Linked DNA regions of Callithrix jacchus. The protein of the gene in region 2 binds, or shares a complex with, the protein of the main gene of each other region. Links are inferred from orthologs where the notes say so. Each region holds a gene or a part of one and is shown on either strand. Other genes may lie near its edges.

Region 1 (3,424 bases), on a different chromosome or scaffold from region 2:
GCCTGGTGGGGGGGGGTTCCCTACTAGGGAAACTGAGGCGGGAGCATATCTTGAGCCCGGGAGATGGAGGCTGCGGTGAGCTATAATCACATAACTGCACTCTAGCCTGGGTGACCACAGAGTGACTCTGTCTCAAATTTAAAAATTGTGGCTTAGCTGGGCGTGGTGGCTCACGCCTGTAATCCCAGCACTTTGGGAGGCAGAGGCGGGCGGATCACCTGAGGTTGGGAGTTCAAGACCAGCATGACCAACATGGAGAAACCCTCTCTCTACTAAAAAAAAAATACAAAATTAGCCGAACGTGTGGTGCACGTCTGTAATCCCAGCTACTGGGGGCGGGGTCTTAAGGCATGAGAATCGCTTGAACCCAGGAGGCAGTGGTTGCAGTGAGCCGAGATCGTGGCATTTTACTCTAGCCTGGGCGACAAGAGTGAAACTCCATTTCAAAAAACAAACCAAACAAAGCAAAGAAACAAAAAATGGTGGCTCACGCCTGTAATCCCAGCACTTTGGGGGCTGAAGCAGGTGAATCACGAGGTCAAGAGTTCAAGACCAGCCTAGCCGACATGGTGAAACCCCGTCCCTACTAAAAATACAAAAATTAGCCGGGCGACATGGCTCGTGCCTCCAATCTTAGCTACTAGGGAGGCTGAGGCCGGAGAATCGCTTGAACCTGGGCGGCAGAGGTTGCAGTGAACCAAGACGGTGCCACTGCACTCCAGCCTGGGCGAGAGTGACACTCCGTCTCAAAAAATAAATAAAAATAAAAATAAAAATGGAAATATCAAAAAATTTCAAGGAATCTCCTCTGGTATCTAAACCACGGGAACTGTCTGTGGTTGGGTGGGTTCAAGGCTGCATTAATTAAAAGCGCGCCACAGTCCCACCACTGGGGATGATAAGGAGGGAGGATTTTTTAACTCCCCAGAGTTGAAAACCAGCAAGAAAGCCAGATCCCATAACTTTTTTCCTATCCATTTATTTTTTTTTTTACTATGCAAATCTCACTACACAGACCCTATAACTTAAAAAAAAACAAAAACAAAAAAAAAAAACCCTTATTCTGCCCTGTACTCAGCTGTCTCAGGCAGGTAACAGAATAATCTGAAAACCTGGTGCCAGAGGAAGTAAACATAGTGGCCAGGGATAAGAAGCTCTGGGAGACCTAAGAAGTATTCATTCTGCAAGTATCAGTTCCTTCTTCTGAGAAAAATACTGGGCTTATCCACGCCTTCCTGAGTCCATCTTTAAGACTCCCGCGGCTTTCCACTGGATTCCTGGAGCCCAGAGCCCGGTTTCTCCCACCGGGTGCGCTGAAGAAGGGCTGTTCCTGACAGAAGGAACCCTCTGAGAGCAGCCCAGAAACCAGCGCGCTTGTGCGGCCTCGGAAGAAGCCAGGGCCCTAGGAGACGGAGGCGACGCCTGGAGTCCAATGAGAAGGGAGCGGATGGAGAGGAGGGGCTGGCCAAAAGCCCTTAAAATAAGACCCAGCTGTAAGCGCAACTCTAGTCGCCTACCTCCAGCTCGTCCTTTGGGTTTGCGGTTGTGCTCTGGTCTCCTGCAGGGCGGGCGGCAGCATGGACACTCCCAGACGGTTTCCGACGCTCGTGCAACTGATGCAGCCAAAAGCAATGTCATTCGAGGTGCTCGGTCAGCTCCCCAAGCAGTTCTCCTGGTTCCACTCTGAGTTTCTGAAGAATCCGAAGGTAGTTCGCCTTGAGGTTTGGCTGGTGGAAAAGATCTTCGGTGAGTGGACTAGGGACGGGTAACCCTCATGCGGCTTCTTTCTGCACCCATACCTACACCCCACATGTTCTGGCCGCGTTCCAGGGCAAACCTCCCTAGTAGCCAATGTCCTCTGGCTGTCTCCTCCTTCCAACTTCCTCTCCCAAGGCCCCTGGGAGCTACCCGTCCCTCACATCCTCTCTGCTCTCGGCGCAGGCAGAGGCGGAGAGCGCATCCCGCAAGTCCAGGGTCTGTCCCAAATCCTGATTCACGTGAATCACTTGGACCCCAGCGGCGAGGCTGAGATCTTGATATTTGGGAGGCCTTCTTACCAGGAGGACACAATCAAGATGATCGTGAACTTGGCTGACTATCACCGCCAGCTCCAGGCGAAAGGTACGAGGTTGAGAAAAGGACTACTTTGAGCAAATCCTGTCTCCGTAGGAGTGATCCTGGGTTTTACTGGCTGCTGGGGCGGCAGTCTCGCCCTCCCAGTCGGCCCGCGGTTGGTGGGTGAGGGAGGGGGCGGTTCTGGTCGCCACGGATCGAGAAGGCCAAACTGAACTTGCGTTCTGGGATTCCTGGCTCCTACTCCCGTAGGCCACATGGGTGACTGTCCTTTTTTAGAGAGGATATAGGGATACAGCTGTGGCCTCTGCACACTGCTCTTCTTCCAGGCTCAGGAAAGGCCCTCGCCCAGGATATAGCCACTCAGAAGGCCGAAACCCAGCGGTCTTCAATAGAAGTCCGGGAAGCCGGGACACAGCGCTTGGTGGAGGTCCGGGAAGCCGGGACCCAGCGTTCGGTGGAGGTCCGGGAGGCCTGGACCCAGCGTTCGGTGGAGGTCCGGGAGGTCGGGACACAGGGTTCTCCGGTGGAGGTGCGGGAGGCCGGGACCCAGCAGTCCCTCAAGGCTGCCAGTGAGTCGGGGACCCAGCGATCTCCCGAAGCTGCCAGCAAGGCACGGACCCAGCGGTTTTACGTGGATGCCCGGGACCCAGTTACTAGATTATGAAGGCATTTCAGGCCCTGGAACCAGAGCCAGTCAGGGGTTAAGTGGAAGCCCGATACACTTAAGCCTCAGAAGGTGGGGTTGGGGGTGGGGGAATCATGATGTGAATTGTTTTGTTTTACCCCTTCTGTTGAATGGTTGCAAACACAAACTTGAGTTCTAATAAAGAATTGCATTTCCCTAACGTCTGTTTTTTGGAAGGTAGAGGGGAGGGAATGCCCATTCCTATATCAGCCCAATTCTGCCCTGCGCCGCTTTCCACCTCGAGGCAGGTGGGACCTCGGGTTCTTAGCCGCCCAAGGTCGCAATCTACCCCGGCTGCGCTTCGGTGTGTCCCTTGTGCTCCTTAACCGCGTTCATCTGGTTTACCCAGGTGAGAATCCTATCTAACCCACTAGGAAACCTCTCCAAGCCCGCTCTGGTTCTACTCAAGGTTAACTTGGGATGAGAAAACCGGGTCGCTTGGGGCTCAGCTGGATTTGGAATACCCTGTGTGTATTGCGATTCTGCCACAGACCACTTTCCCAGTTAGGGAAAATGACATCGGGGAAGGGGGAAACGGAGAGGGCCGAGCTGTGCCACTGTTGCCGTTGTCAGGTCTTGCTTGGGTCACCGACTTTGCACGAAGGTCGTGGACACCAAGATGCAGGCATCGGCTACTCTGGCCGCGAAGAGTCCCAGCAGAGA
Region 2 (3,566 bases):
TTAGCACTGGCTTATTCCACTTAGCATGCCAAGGTTCCGTCATGTAGCAGGTGTCAATTTTTTTTTTCTTTTTTTTTTTTGAGACGGAGTTTCGCTCTTGTTACCCAGGCTGGAGTGCAATGGCGCGACCTCGGCTCACCGCAACCTCCGCCTCCTGGGTTCAGGCAATTCTCCTGCCTCAGCCTCCTGAGTAGCTGGGATTACAGGCACGCGCCACCATGCCCAGCTAATTTTTTGTATTTTTAGTAGAGACGGGGTTTCACCGTTGTTGACCAGGATGGTCTCGATCTCTTGACCTCGTGATCCACCCGCCTCGGCCTCCCAAAGTGCTGGGATTACAGGCTTGAGCCGCCCCGCCCAGCCCAGAATTTTCTTTTTAAGGCTGAATTCCATCGCATTGTACATGCCACATTCTGTTTATCCTTTCATCCACAAACGCCTGGGTTACTCCCACCTCTTGGCTACTATTATGAATTATGCTGCTAGGAACATGAGTGTGAGATCTGAGATCTTGCTTTTGATTCTTGTGGGAATATTATACTCAGAAGTGACACTGCTGGATCATAGAGCAATTCCAGTTTTCTCAGCATAAACACTAATAATGCTCTCTCTGCACCCTTTCCAACCCACCCAGCAGTAAGCTCCATGGTATCAGGCACCTGGTCTCTATCTCCCACATCCCTGTGTCTCCGGCACCCAGCACAATACCCACAACATAGTGGGCACTCACCAATGGAGTAAAAATATGGCTGCCAAGCCATGACCTCCACGTTTCCCATAACCTACTTCTCCACCAGCTACGAAGCCTGGAACAGAAGCAGGTCTGTAGCTCAGAAGACAATCGCCAGGGACTTACCCAATGATTCGTAGATTAGACGTGGGACACGCGAAGGCTGAACACAGCTTCCTCATTCCTGCAGGACTGAAGTTATTCTGTGCCAGGTTTAGGCCGGCCAGGTGCCGGTTGCAGGAAAGGGCCAAGGACAGTTCCTCACAGCAACCAGAAGTCAATCCACATGATTTCAACCTGCAGCGTCGCCCAGAACACCCGGAAAATAACCCCAAAGATCAATGACGGCTCCTTCACTCAACCCCTGTGAATTTCACCTTGACACTTTCACTTGAGACAGAGTCTCGCTGTGTCACCCAGGCTGGAGTCTGACAGCGCAATCTCATCTCACGGTAACCTCCACCTTCCGGGTTCAAGCGATTCTCCTGCCTCAGCCTCCTGAGTAGCTGGGACTACAGGCACCTGCCATCACATGCCCAGCTAATTTTTCTATTTTTAGTAGAGATGGGGTTTCAACATGTTGGCCAGGATGGTCTCGAACTCCAGATCTCAAGTGATCTGCCCGCCTCGGCCTCCCAAAGTGCAGGGATGACAGGCCTGAGCCACCGTGCCCGGCCTCAGCACTCCCCTTTCTATGGCTGAACCACAGTCCCTCACGTGGGAACGCCGCCTTTACAAGCCCCCGGGAGATCCTGATGCTCACGTGAGTTCCGAGGGCCACTCGGGTCATCCATCCCTTGGTTCCTCCTCCTCTTTGTCTCTAGACCATTCACACAACACAAACGTCTTCCCGCTTCCGTACTCCCGCCACTTAGCGCCAGGACTAGACACAGGGGTCGCTCAATGGGCAGCTGAGGGTTTTCCACCCCCAGACCTTGCTCCCAAGCGTCTCATGCACCCTGTGACTTTCCGTGGCTGGCTTCTTTCACTCAGCGGGATGTTTTCATGGCTCACCCACATTGTGGCAGCTGTCAGCGCTGTACGAGCAATTTTTTTTTGAGATGGAGTTTCGCTCTTGTTGCCCAGGCTGGAGTGCAATGGCGCGATCTCCGCCTGGGTTCAAGTGATTCTCCTGCCTCAGCCTCCCGAGTAGCTGGGATTACAGGCACGCACCACCACGCCCGGCTAATTTTTGTATTTTTAGTAGAGACGGGGTTTCACCATGTTGACCAGGATGGTCTCGATCTCTTGACCTCGTGATCCACCCGCCTCGGCCTCCCAAAGTGCTGGGATTACAGGCTTGAGCCACCGCGCCCGGCCTTTTTTGTTTTTGTTTTTTTGAGACAGAGTGTCACTCTGTTACTCAGGCTGGAGTGCAGTGGTACAATCTTGGCTCACAGCAACCTCCACCTCCCGGGTTCAAGTGATTCTCCTGCCTCAGCCTCCAGAGTAGCTGAGGTTACAGGCAGCCACTCACACTGCGGGAGCCCAGCTGTAACTTATACCCAGAGCTGTGGTGCTACAAGGACTGCCATCCACCCACATCCTCATTCAGACAACCTCGCACTGGGGTACCCCACCTCCTCCCAGCCTGGCCCTCAGAGACACCCCAGGAAGTTACCCCAGTCTCCTTAGAACACATTTCCTTTGCTTCAGCCCCTCACACAGCGCAGTGACCCCGACGTCACCCACGGCATTGTCCGAGAGATCCAGGCTCCTCAGGTATCTGCTCCTCGCCATCACGTAGGACAGACTCTCACAGCACTCAGCAGTGAGACGGCAGCTGACCAGCCTGCAGAGGTGGGAGACAGAGTGAGACGGCTTCTCTCGGGGACAGTGGGGGACAGACAGAGCGAGTCAGCATCTCTCGGGGACCGTACACAGTGGGAGACAGAGCGAGTCAGCGTCTCTCGGGGACCATGGACAGTGGGAGACAGAGCGAGTCAGCGTCTCTCGGGGACCATGCACAGTGGGAGACAGAGCAGGTCAGCGTCTCTCGGGGACAGTGGGAGACAGAGCGGGTCAGCGTCTCGGGGACAGTGGGAGACAGAGCAGGTCAGCGTCTCTCGGGGACAGTGGGAGACAGAGCGAGTCAGCGTCTCTCGCGGACAGTGGGAGACAGTGAGTCAGCGTGTCTCGGGGACAGTGGGAGACAGTGAGTCAGCGTCTCTCGGGGACAGTGGGAGACAGTGAGTCAGCGTCTCTCGGGGACAGTGGGAGACAGAGCGAGTCAGCATCTCAGGGACACTGGGAGGCAGAGCGAGTCAGCATCTCAGGGACACTGGGAGGCAGAGCGAGTCAGCGTCTCTCGGGGACCGTGGACAGTGGGAGACAGAGCGAGTCAGCATCTCTCAGGGACAGTGGGAGACAGAGCGAGTCAGCGTCTCTAGGGGACCATGGACAGGAGGAGACAGAGTGAGTCAGCGTCTCTCGGGTACCATGGACAGTGGGAGACAGTGAGTCAGCATCTCTTGGGGACAGTGGGAGACAGAGCGAGTCAGCGTCTCTCAGGGACCATGGACAGTGGGAGATTGTTCAGCAGCACTGACCGAGGAATCTTTATTGCTTCCTGACGGGGGACTTTTCTGTCCGTTCCTGTCAAGGGCTTAGACTGTGTGGTATCTCCTGGCTCAAGAGAGCCGTGACAGAGGGCAGGGAAAGTGCCAGCTGTGATTGAAGGTACCTTTATTTTTTTGAGACAGTGTCTGGCTCTGTCACCCAGGCTGGAGTGCAGTGATGCGATCTCAGCTCACCACAACCTCCACCTCCCGGGTTCCAGCATTTCTCCTGCCTCAGCCTCCCGAGTAGCTGAGACTACAGGTGTCTGCCACCACAC
Region 3 (3,247 bases), about 46 Mb from region 2:
TGTATTTTTAGTAGAGACGGGGTTTCACCATGTTGACCAGGATGGTCTCGATCTCTTGACCTCGTGATCCACCCGCCTCGGCCTCCCAAAGTGCTGGGATTACAGGCTTGAGCCACCGCGCCCAGCTAATTTTTTGTATTTTTAGTACACACGGGGTTTCACCGTGTTTCCCAGGCCAGTCTCTAACACCCGACCTCAAATGATCTGTCTGCCTCGCCCTCCCAAAGTGCTGGGATTACAGGTGTCAGCCACCGTGCCCAGCATCTAAAAAGATTAGATCAGCCGGGCGTGGTGCGCACATCTGCCGTCTCAGCTCCTCCAGAGGGTGAGGCAGGAGGATGGAGAGGACGGTGGCGTCACTCCAGCCTTCGCGACAGATCCTGGAAGGAAAAAAAAAAAAAAAAAAGGCTAAGAGCCACCAGGCTGGATAAAGTCCTTCCAATTTTCCACAAAACGAGCAGGGACGGGATGGGGAGGCCCCTTCCCCTTCAGAGGACAGGCCGCATCCGCTCTGCTTTTCCTGGATGCTTTATTACGTGTGATGGCAATGAGCCAGCTCACCACAGAGGGGGGTTTTCAACACGGTAGAAGACCCTTCCCCACCTCCCTCCACCACGACCACCGGGTTGGGGGAAGAAAAAGGCGGGGGACAGAAAGGAGTGCAGTCCGATGACGGCAGCCAAGGCCCCTCAGTAGGTCATCTGGTACACGGCGGCGTGCTCACTGAAGCCGGTGACAACGAGGCGGTTGTTGGACGAGATGTCACAGCACAGGATCGGGGACGTCTCGGGTACCTAAGGGGGAACCGTAGGCACTGAGCTGGGGAAGGGCTCACGCACCCCTGGTCTTTACCCGTCAGCTCTAGCATGAGGCATGGGCTCTTCCAAGAAGACAAGACAGGGTCTTGCTCCGTTGCCCAGGCTGGAGGGCAATGGTGGGATCTCAGCTCACTGCAACCTCCGCCTCCCGGGTTCAAGCGATTCTCCTGCCTCAGCCTCCCGCGTCGCTGGGACCACAGGTCTCCTCCACCCACGCCAGGCTGATTTTTTATATTTTAATAGAGACGGGGTTTCATCGTGTTGCTCAGGCTGGTCTTGAACTCATGGGCTCAGGCAATTCCGCCTGCCTCGGCCTCCCAAAGTGCTGGGATTACAGGCGTGAGCCACCCTGACCGGCCTTTTCTGAGTTTTTGTTGAGATGGGGTCTCACTGTGTTGGGCAGGCTGGTCTTGAAATCCTAACTGAAAGGGATCTTCCTGCCTCAGCCTCCCAAAGTGCTGGGATTATAGGTGTGAGCTGTCATGCCTGGGTAATTTTTTTTTTTTTTTTTTTGAGAGTCTGGCTCTGTCACCAGGCTGGAGTGCAGTGGCACAATCTTGGCTCACGGCAACCTCTGCCTCCTGGGTTCAAGCGATTCTTCCGCCTCAGCCTCCCAAGTAGCTGAGACCACAGGTGTGTACCACCACGCCTGGCTAATTTTTTTTGTATTTTTAGTAGACATGGGGTTTCACCATGTTGGCCAGGATAGTCTTGATCTCTTGACCTCATGATCTGCCTGCCTCAGCCTCCCAAACTGCTGGGATTATAGGGGTGAGCCACCGAGCCTGGCCTAATTTTTAATTTTTTCTTTGTACAGACAGGGTCTTGCTGTGTTGCCCAGGCTGGAAACATGGTTTTGGGGCCACCCCAAGGTCCCACCCCCAGCTCACCCCACAGTACCTGGAACACGTTTGTCCCCACTGGCATGCTGTGGATGCTGAGCAAGCCGTCCATCCCCACGCTCGCCCACCACTGGCCTGGGAGGAACAAGGGTGGTGGGAGCACCAGGTGGGGGAGGGGCAGGGCCCAGACACCCACCCCCTTCCCTCCCTTGTCCCCCTGGAGGAACAGCCCCAAAATTGGCTTCTGCTATGGAACAGCTGCTGTTTGATTGTTCGGGGGGTGGGGGATGAGGCATAGTTTTGGTCTTGTGGCCCTGGCTGGAGTGCAATGGCGTGATCTCGGCTCACTGCAACCTCCAGCTCCTGGGTTCAAGCGATTCCCCTGCCTCAGCCTCCCGAGTAGCTGCAGAGATACCAGGATACTGGCCTGGTGCAGTATTGGAATAGTGTTTTTTTTTTTTGGGCGGCGGGGGAAGACAGTTTTGTTCTTGTTGCCCAGGCTGGAGTGCAATGGTGTGATCTCAGCTCCTGAGTACCTGGGATTATAGGCACGTGCCTCCACACCTGGCTAATTTTTGTATTTTCAGTAGAGACGGGGTTTCTCCATGTTGGTCAGGCCGGTCTCGAACTCCTGACCTCAGGTGATCCGCCCGCCTCGGCCTCCCAAAGTGCTGGGATCACAGGTGCGAGCCACCACGCCCGGCCTCCAGAAAGGTTTTGAGGTACCCTAGAGGGTTGGGTGGGGAGCTGGCATTGGATGGGGTCCTGTGGGAGGCTGGGGGCTGCGGGGGAGACCCCCCTCCTTCCGCCGGCTACTTACCGAAGGGGGAGAACTTGACGCTCAGGATGATGCCGTCTCTCTGCCCCACCAGCTGCCGCCGGCTGTCACTGGTGCTCTGTAGCCACTGCTGGCCGTTGGCCATGCCCAGCAGCAGCCAGTCCTCTTGGGGACTGTGGGACAGGCTCATTATCTGGGCAATGAAAGGGCAGTGGGGAGGGAGGAAGCTGGTTAGGTCCCAGCCTGGCCCAAAAGGCAGGCAGGAGACTGGGGTCCTATCCTGGAGGCTGAGTGCCTGACCCCTTCCTAGCTGCCCAGCCCTGGCCCAAGTCATTTCGTGTCTGTGCCTCAGTTTGTTGGTCTGTAATATGAGCACAGTCTTCCCTACTTCTGCACCCAATATAGCATTTAAGCTTTTTTTTTTTTTAAGAAAACAGTCTCGCTCTGTCACCAGGCTGGAGCGCAGTGGCGTGATCTCGACTTACAGCAACCTCCACCTCCTCGGTTCAAGCGATTATCCTGCCTCAGTCTCCCCAGTAGCTGGGATTACAGGCGTGAGCCACTGCACCTGGCCAAGTGTTTCTTATTTAAACAGCAAATTTTTTTTGTTTTTTTTCTGAGATGGAGTCACGCTCAGTCATCCAGGCTGGAGTGCAGGGGCACGATCTCGGCTCAATGCACCCTCCACCTTCCCGTTTAAAGTGATTCTCCTGCCTCAGCCTCCTGAGTAGCTGGGACTACAGGTGCCGCCACCACACCCAGATAATGGTTTTGTTTTTAGTAGAGATGGGTTTCAACATATCGGCCAG
Region 4 (3,072 bases), on a different chromosome or scaffold from region 2:
TGGGGATTGCAATGCTAGGGTTAATGAATGCTAACTGCCCAGGCTTGCTCGTTGGAATCACTTTTCTTAGAGTGGCCAACGAAGGCCTCACTCTAAGAAAAGGCACAGCCGGTGCTCCTCAGGGGGTCAACTACCAGCTTCAAAGTGAGAAATTCAGATGAGCTGCTTTGGGAGTACTTGTGAGCTCATCAGAAATGCAAATAATAAACCATACCCCAACAGTACCGAATCAGAATCTTCTGAAGAAGGAGCCTAGGAAATGATGTTTTAACAAACTCCCAAGGTGATTTATTACAAGCTTTAAAGTTTGAGAACCAATGACTAAAAACAAAACAGATCACCATTTGTGAGGCTATCTGCCCCCTGTGGCTGAGGGCCTGACTCTGACCATAAAATCATAAAAGGATTAGGAGTTTCAAGATGAGGGAATTCAGGAATAAACCCTACAAAACTACAACCTGCCAGCCTTCTACCTACCCTTCATATCAAAACATGAATGAGTCAATCTTTTATAAATTTGCTTTATTATAAGTGTATGAAGATCTTAATGTCACTGGGCAAAATAGCCATTTATTAGAATAGTTCAAATTCACTCTTGCAACAAAATAAACCACACTGAATCAAGACACAGGAAAAACAAATGCAGGGATTTAGGAATGCTATACTTGCTTCTCTTCAACTTTAGCAGCAGAAGTTGCAAAGTTCTCAAGATGCTACTGACACTATTGTCTTAAGCAACAGAATCCTGGGGAGTGTGGGGGTCTGATGCTTGGGCCTTCAAGTTCTTCTCAAGGTGTTTCATCTTCTCAGCTGGAAGAGAAAGAGTTGATACTAACCATGGACAGGGAGAAGTGTTCGCTGTTTCAAACTACTCAGTGATTGGGAGTTGGGGAGGAGAGGAGGATCTGCGATAGTGCTGTAGCCCAGCTGAGGCTGACTTGGGCAGTGATGGGCCTGAATCTATCAGATCTCCACTGACTTTCCCAAGGTCCTACCTCGGGGATCCCCTCCCAAAAAACTTCGTGCAACTTCCTGGGGTGCGGAAACCAAGAAATTAAGAGGTTAAGGGAGGATGGAAGGAAGCCGAGCAAGACCAGTATGGTCACTCGTGGCTTCCTCCATGTGTAATTTCTCAAAGACCCTCACCTCGGGCTCGATGTTCTCGGTGAAACCATGCCAGGCACAGGAGCATGCTCTTCACCCGATTCTGTACACGGGGCCGTCCAAAAACGGTGATTTCTACTAGGTTCCCAGAGTCCACTATGTCCACTGTCAACAGGGCCTGGCTAGTCCACTCCATTTCTGGAATTATGGCTCGGTCTGGGCCTAAACAAGTAAGGAAAGACTATTTAGGGGCCGCAGTCACAGGTTAGAAGCTGATTTGAAGAAAATGTTGACCAGGGAAGGGAACAGCTGGAAGGTGGGCACCACAGCAACACTCCTGGCTTGAGAATCTGGGAAAGAGGCTGTAGAGAGCTGCTCTGCCAAGCCTCTCTCAGACTGAGAGACTAAGAGTCTAGGTTGCTCACCAAAGAGCACGTCTGCCAGCCATGCCTCCAGGTAGAACACCAAAGGGTTTCTCAGTTCCTGCACCGGAAACCACCAGGGCCGGATGCGAATCTGTGGCAGCGGAAGTGGTAACCTACGCAGCTGCTCCAGGGAGTGGGCCGGGGTCTGTTTGCCCCAATGGGACTCAGCAGCACCAGCGTCATCGACCATACTGGGACCAGCAGCCGCGGAGTGCACGCGGGACGGCTTTCACGTGACCTCCTCCAGACTCAGCCGCGAGGCTCCGGCTCTCTTTTACAGTATTCGACCCGCTCCGCCCCTTCCGGCGGCGCCTGGCACCGCTTCCGGGTGAGCTGATGCAATCGACGCCTGGGCCTAGTGGCGCTTCGGGCACTTTCTGCGCTGCCACAATCGTCGGGACTGCCTTTTTGACCTAGAACTAGTATTCATTTGGGCTCCTGTTGGGTCTTCAACTGTCTCCTTCGACATCTCTGCCTCGTAAGGTATTTAGCCTAAAAGGCCTCTGCTCATCGTATAGCTGATTAAGTGTGAGTTTGAATCGACGACCGTGTTGACTGGGAATCACCTTTGCTGTCTAGGTTAAGGTTTCGACGTTGCCTTCTAAAGACAGGTAGATCAAACCCAGGCAGGTTTGTTGAATGTGTCAGTTTTCTCTCTTCTGCCCCCTTTTTATCTTCTGACTCTCTGGATGGTTACCATTTTGAAATTATTCCAGGAAGTGTGTCATGTTTTAAGCAAAAAATCAGAGGTGGGCTTATAGAACATGTAGCAAGTTACACAGTTTTCCTTTATTTCCACTCTCCTAGACAACCTAAGACAGCCAGTATTGATGCATATTTCTTCTCAATGTTTGTAATTTTAATTAAAAATTTGAATTATGAAAAGTTTCACACACCCAAGAGTCATATGACACAGCCATGTATCCTCTCCCAGTTTAACAGATGTTGACATTTCCCCACATTTGCTTCACTTCTCTGTTCTTTAAAATAGGTATTACTCAAGTATCTTTCCTTTCCCTCCCTAGAGGACATCATCCTGAACTAGTGTATTTCATCCCCATGCATGTCCTTACATATTTTCTACTGTATTTCTGGAAATAGTTTGGTAGTTGTTTCAGAATAGACAGTATCTGCCGAATATACTATTTTGTTCTTACAGTTAACTATGTGTTTGTTCTAAAAAATATTTTCTGGGGAACGGGAAAAAAAAAAATTCTTTTGTTCCAAGATAGGTCTCACTCTATTGCCTAGGCTGGAATGAAGTGGCACGATCTCAGTTTTCACTGCAGCCTGGACCTCTCAGGCCCAAGTGATCCTCCCACTTCAGCCTCCTGAATAGCTGAGACTGCAGGTGCCTGCTACCACACCCAACTATTTTCCATCTTTTTTTTTTTTTTTTTTTTTTGTAGAGTCAGGGTCCCACTATGTTGCCAGGCTGGTTTTGAACTCCTACCTAAGCAGTCCTCTTGCTTTGGCCTCCCAAAGGGCTGGGATTACAGGTGTGAGCCAGCATAGAAGAAAAAAACTCAAGGGCTGGGCGCGG

The links.
Region 1: NLRP5 (region 2) and KHDC3L share a complex: the UniProt entries of both Homo sapiens proteins name them as parts of the subcortical maternal complex. The link is inferred for Callithrix jacchus from reciprocal best matches to the Homo sapiens genes NLRP5 and KHDC3L.
Region 3: the proteins of NLRP5 (region 2) and TLE6 are in contact, whole or in part, in a cryo-EM structure (PDB 8H94), measured with the Mus musculus proteins. The link is inferred for Callithrix jacchus from reciprocal best matches to the Homo sapiens genes NLRP5 and TLE6. Residues at the interface, in NP_035990.1 of Mus musculus: Gln185, Phe188, His283, Arg307, Glu326, Lys327, Lys329, Ser330, Ser334, Pro335, Leu336, Met444, Ala447, Glu448, Trp451, Tyr465, Tyr507, Tyr508, Glu511, Glu515, Asn517, Phe520, Phe522, Leu540, Met543, Lys544, Leu547, Val571, Lys574, Leu575; in NP_444484.1 of Mus musculus: Pro147, Gln148, Pro149, Val150, Cys158, Gln159, Phe161, Leu162, Ile163, Gly165, Leu166, Trp167, Leu169, Phe170, Ser173, Arg174, Gln175, Lys176, Asn177, Ala247, Asp248, Lys249, Phe250, Lys252, Pro253, Ser255, Trp256, Leu261, Glu262, Cys265.
Region 4: the proteins of NLRP5 (region 2) and OOEP are in contact, whole or in part, in a cryo-EM structure (PDB 8H93), measured with the Mus musculus proteins. The link is inferred for Callithrix jacchus from reciprocal best matches to the Homo sapiens genes NLRP5 and OOEP. Residues at the interface, in NP_035990.1 of Mus musculus: Glu173, Leu176, Leu195, His196, Gly202, Leu206, Asn322, Leu325, Glu326, Tyr337, Ile338, Leu339, Val340, Glu341, Gly342, Leu343, Ser344, Ala345, Ser346, His373, Asn625, Gln626, Asp652, Ser655, Glu661, Leu662, Cys663, Pro664; in NP_080756.1 of Mus musculus: Ser26, Leu27, Arg28, Leu29, Arg30, Thr31, Arg32, Ile38, Val41, Asn43, Tyr48, Met49, Leu75, Leu86, Glu88, Pro95, Thr99, Lys102.

Annotation. Positions count from the first base shown.
Region 1 is NC_133505.1:78,451,293-78,454,716, forward strand, and holds KHDC3L (KH domain-containing protein 3), read left to right. Parts: upstream 1-1,507; 5' UTR 1,508-1,577; coding exon 1,578-1,746; exon of another isoform or gene 1,747-1,941; coding exon 1,942-2,121; exon of another isoform or gene 2,122-2,159; intron 2,160-2,402; coding exon 2,403-2,740; 3' UTR 2,741-2,916; downstream 2,917-3,424. UniProt on the Homo sapiens protein: Component of the subcortical maternal complex (SCMC), a multiprotein complex that plays a key role in early embryonic development.
Region 2 is NC_133523.1:48,863,500-48,867,065, reverse strand, and holds part of NLRP5 (NACHT, LRR and PYD domains-containing protein 5), read right to left. Parts: intron 2,523-3,566; coding exon 2,352-2,522; intron 1,028-2,351; coding exon 857-1,027; intron 1-856. UniProt on the Homo sapiens protein: Component of the subcortical maternal complex (SCMC), a multiprotein complex that plays a key role in early embryonic development.
Region 3 is NC_133523.1:2,770,269-2,773,515, reverse strand, and holds the end of TLE6 (transducin-like enhancer protein 6), read right to left. Parts: intron 2,632-3,247; coding exon 2,481-2,631; intron 1,796-2,480; coding exon 1,719-1,795; intron 795-1,718; coding exon 690-794; 3' UTR 513-689; downstream 1-512. UniProt on the Homo sapiens protein: Component of the subcortical maternal complex (SCMC), a multiprotein complex that plays a key role in early embryonic development.
Region 4 is NC_133505.1:78,457,596-78,460,667, forward strand, and holds OOEP (oocyte-expressed protein homolog), read right to left. Parts: upstream 1,825-3,072; 5' UTR 1,720-1,824; coding exon 1,530-1,719; intron 1,327-1,529; coding exon 1,147-1,326; intron 811-1,146; coding exon 731-810; 3' UTR 508-730; downstream 1-507. UniProt on the Homo sapiens protein: Component of the subcortical maternal complex (SCMC), a multiprotein complex that plays a key role in early embryonic development.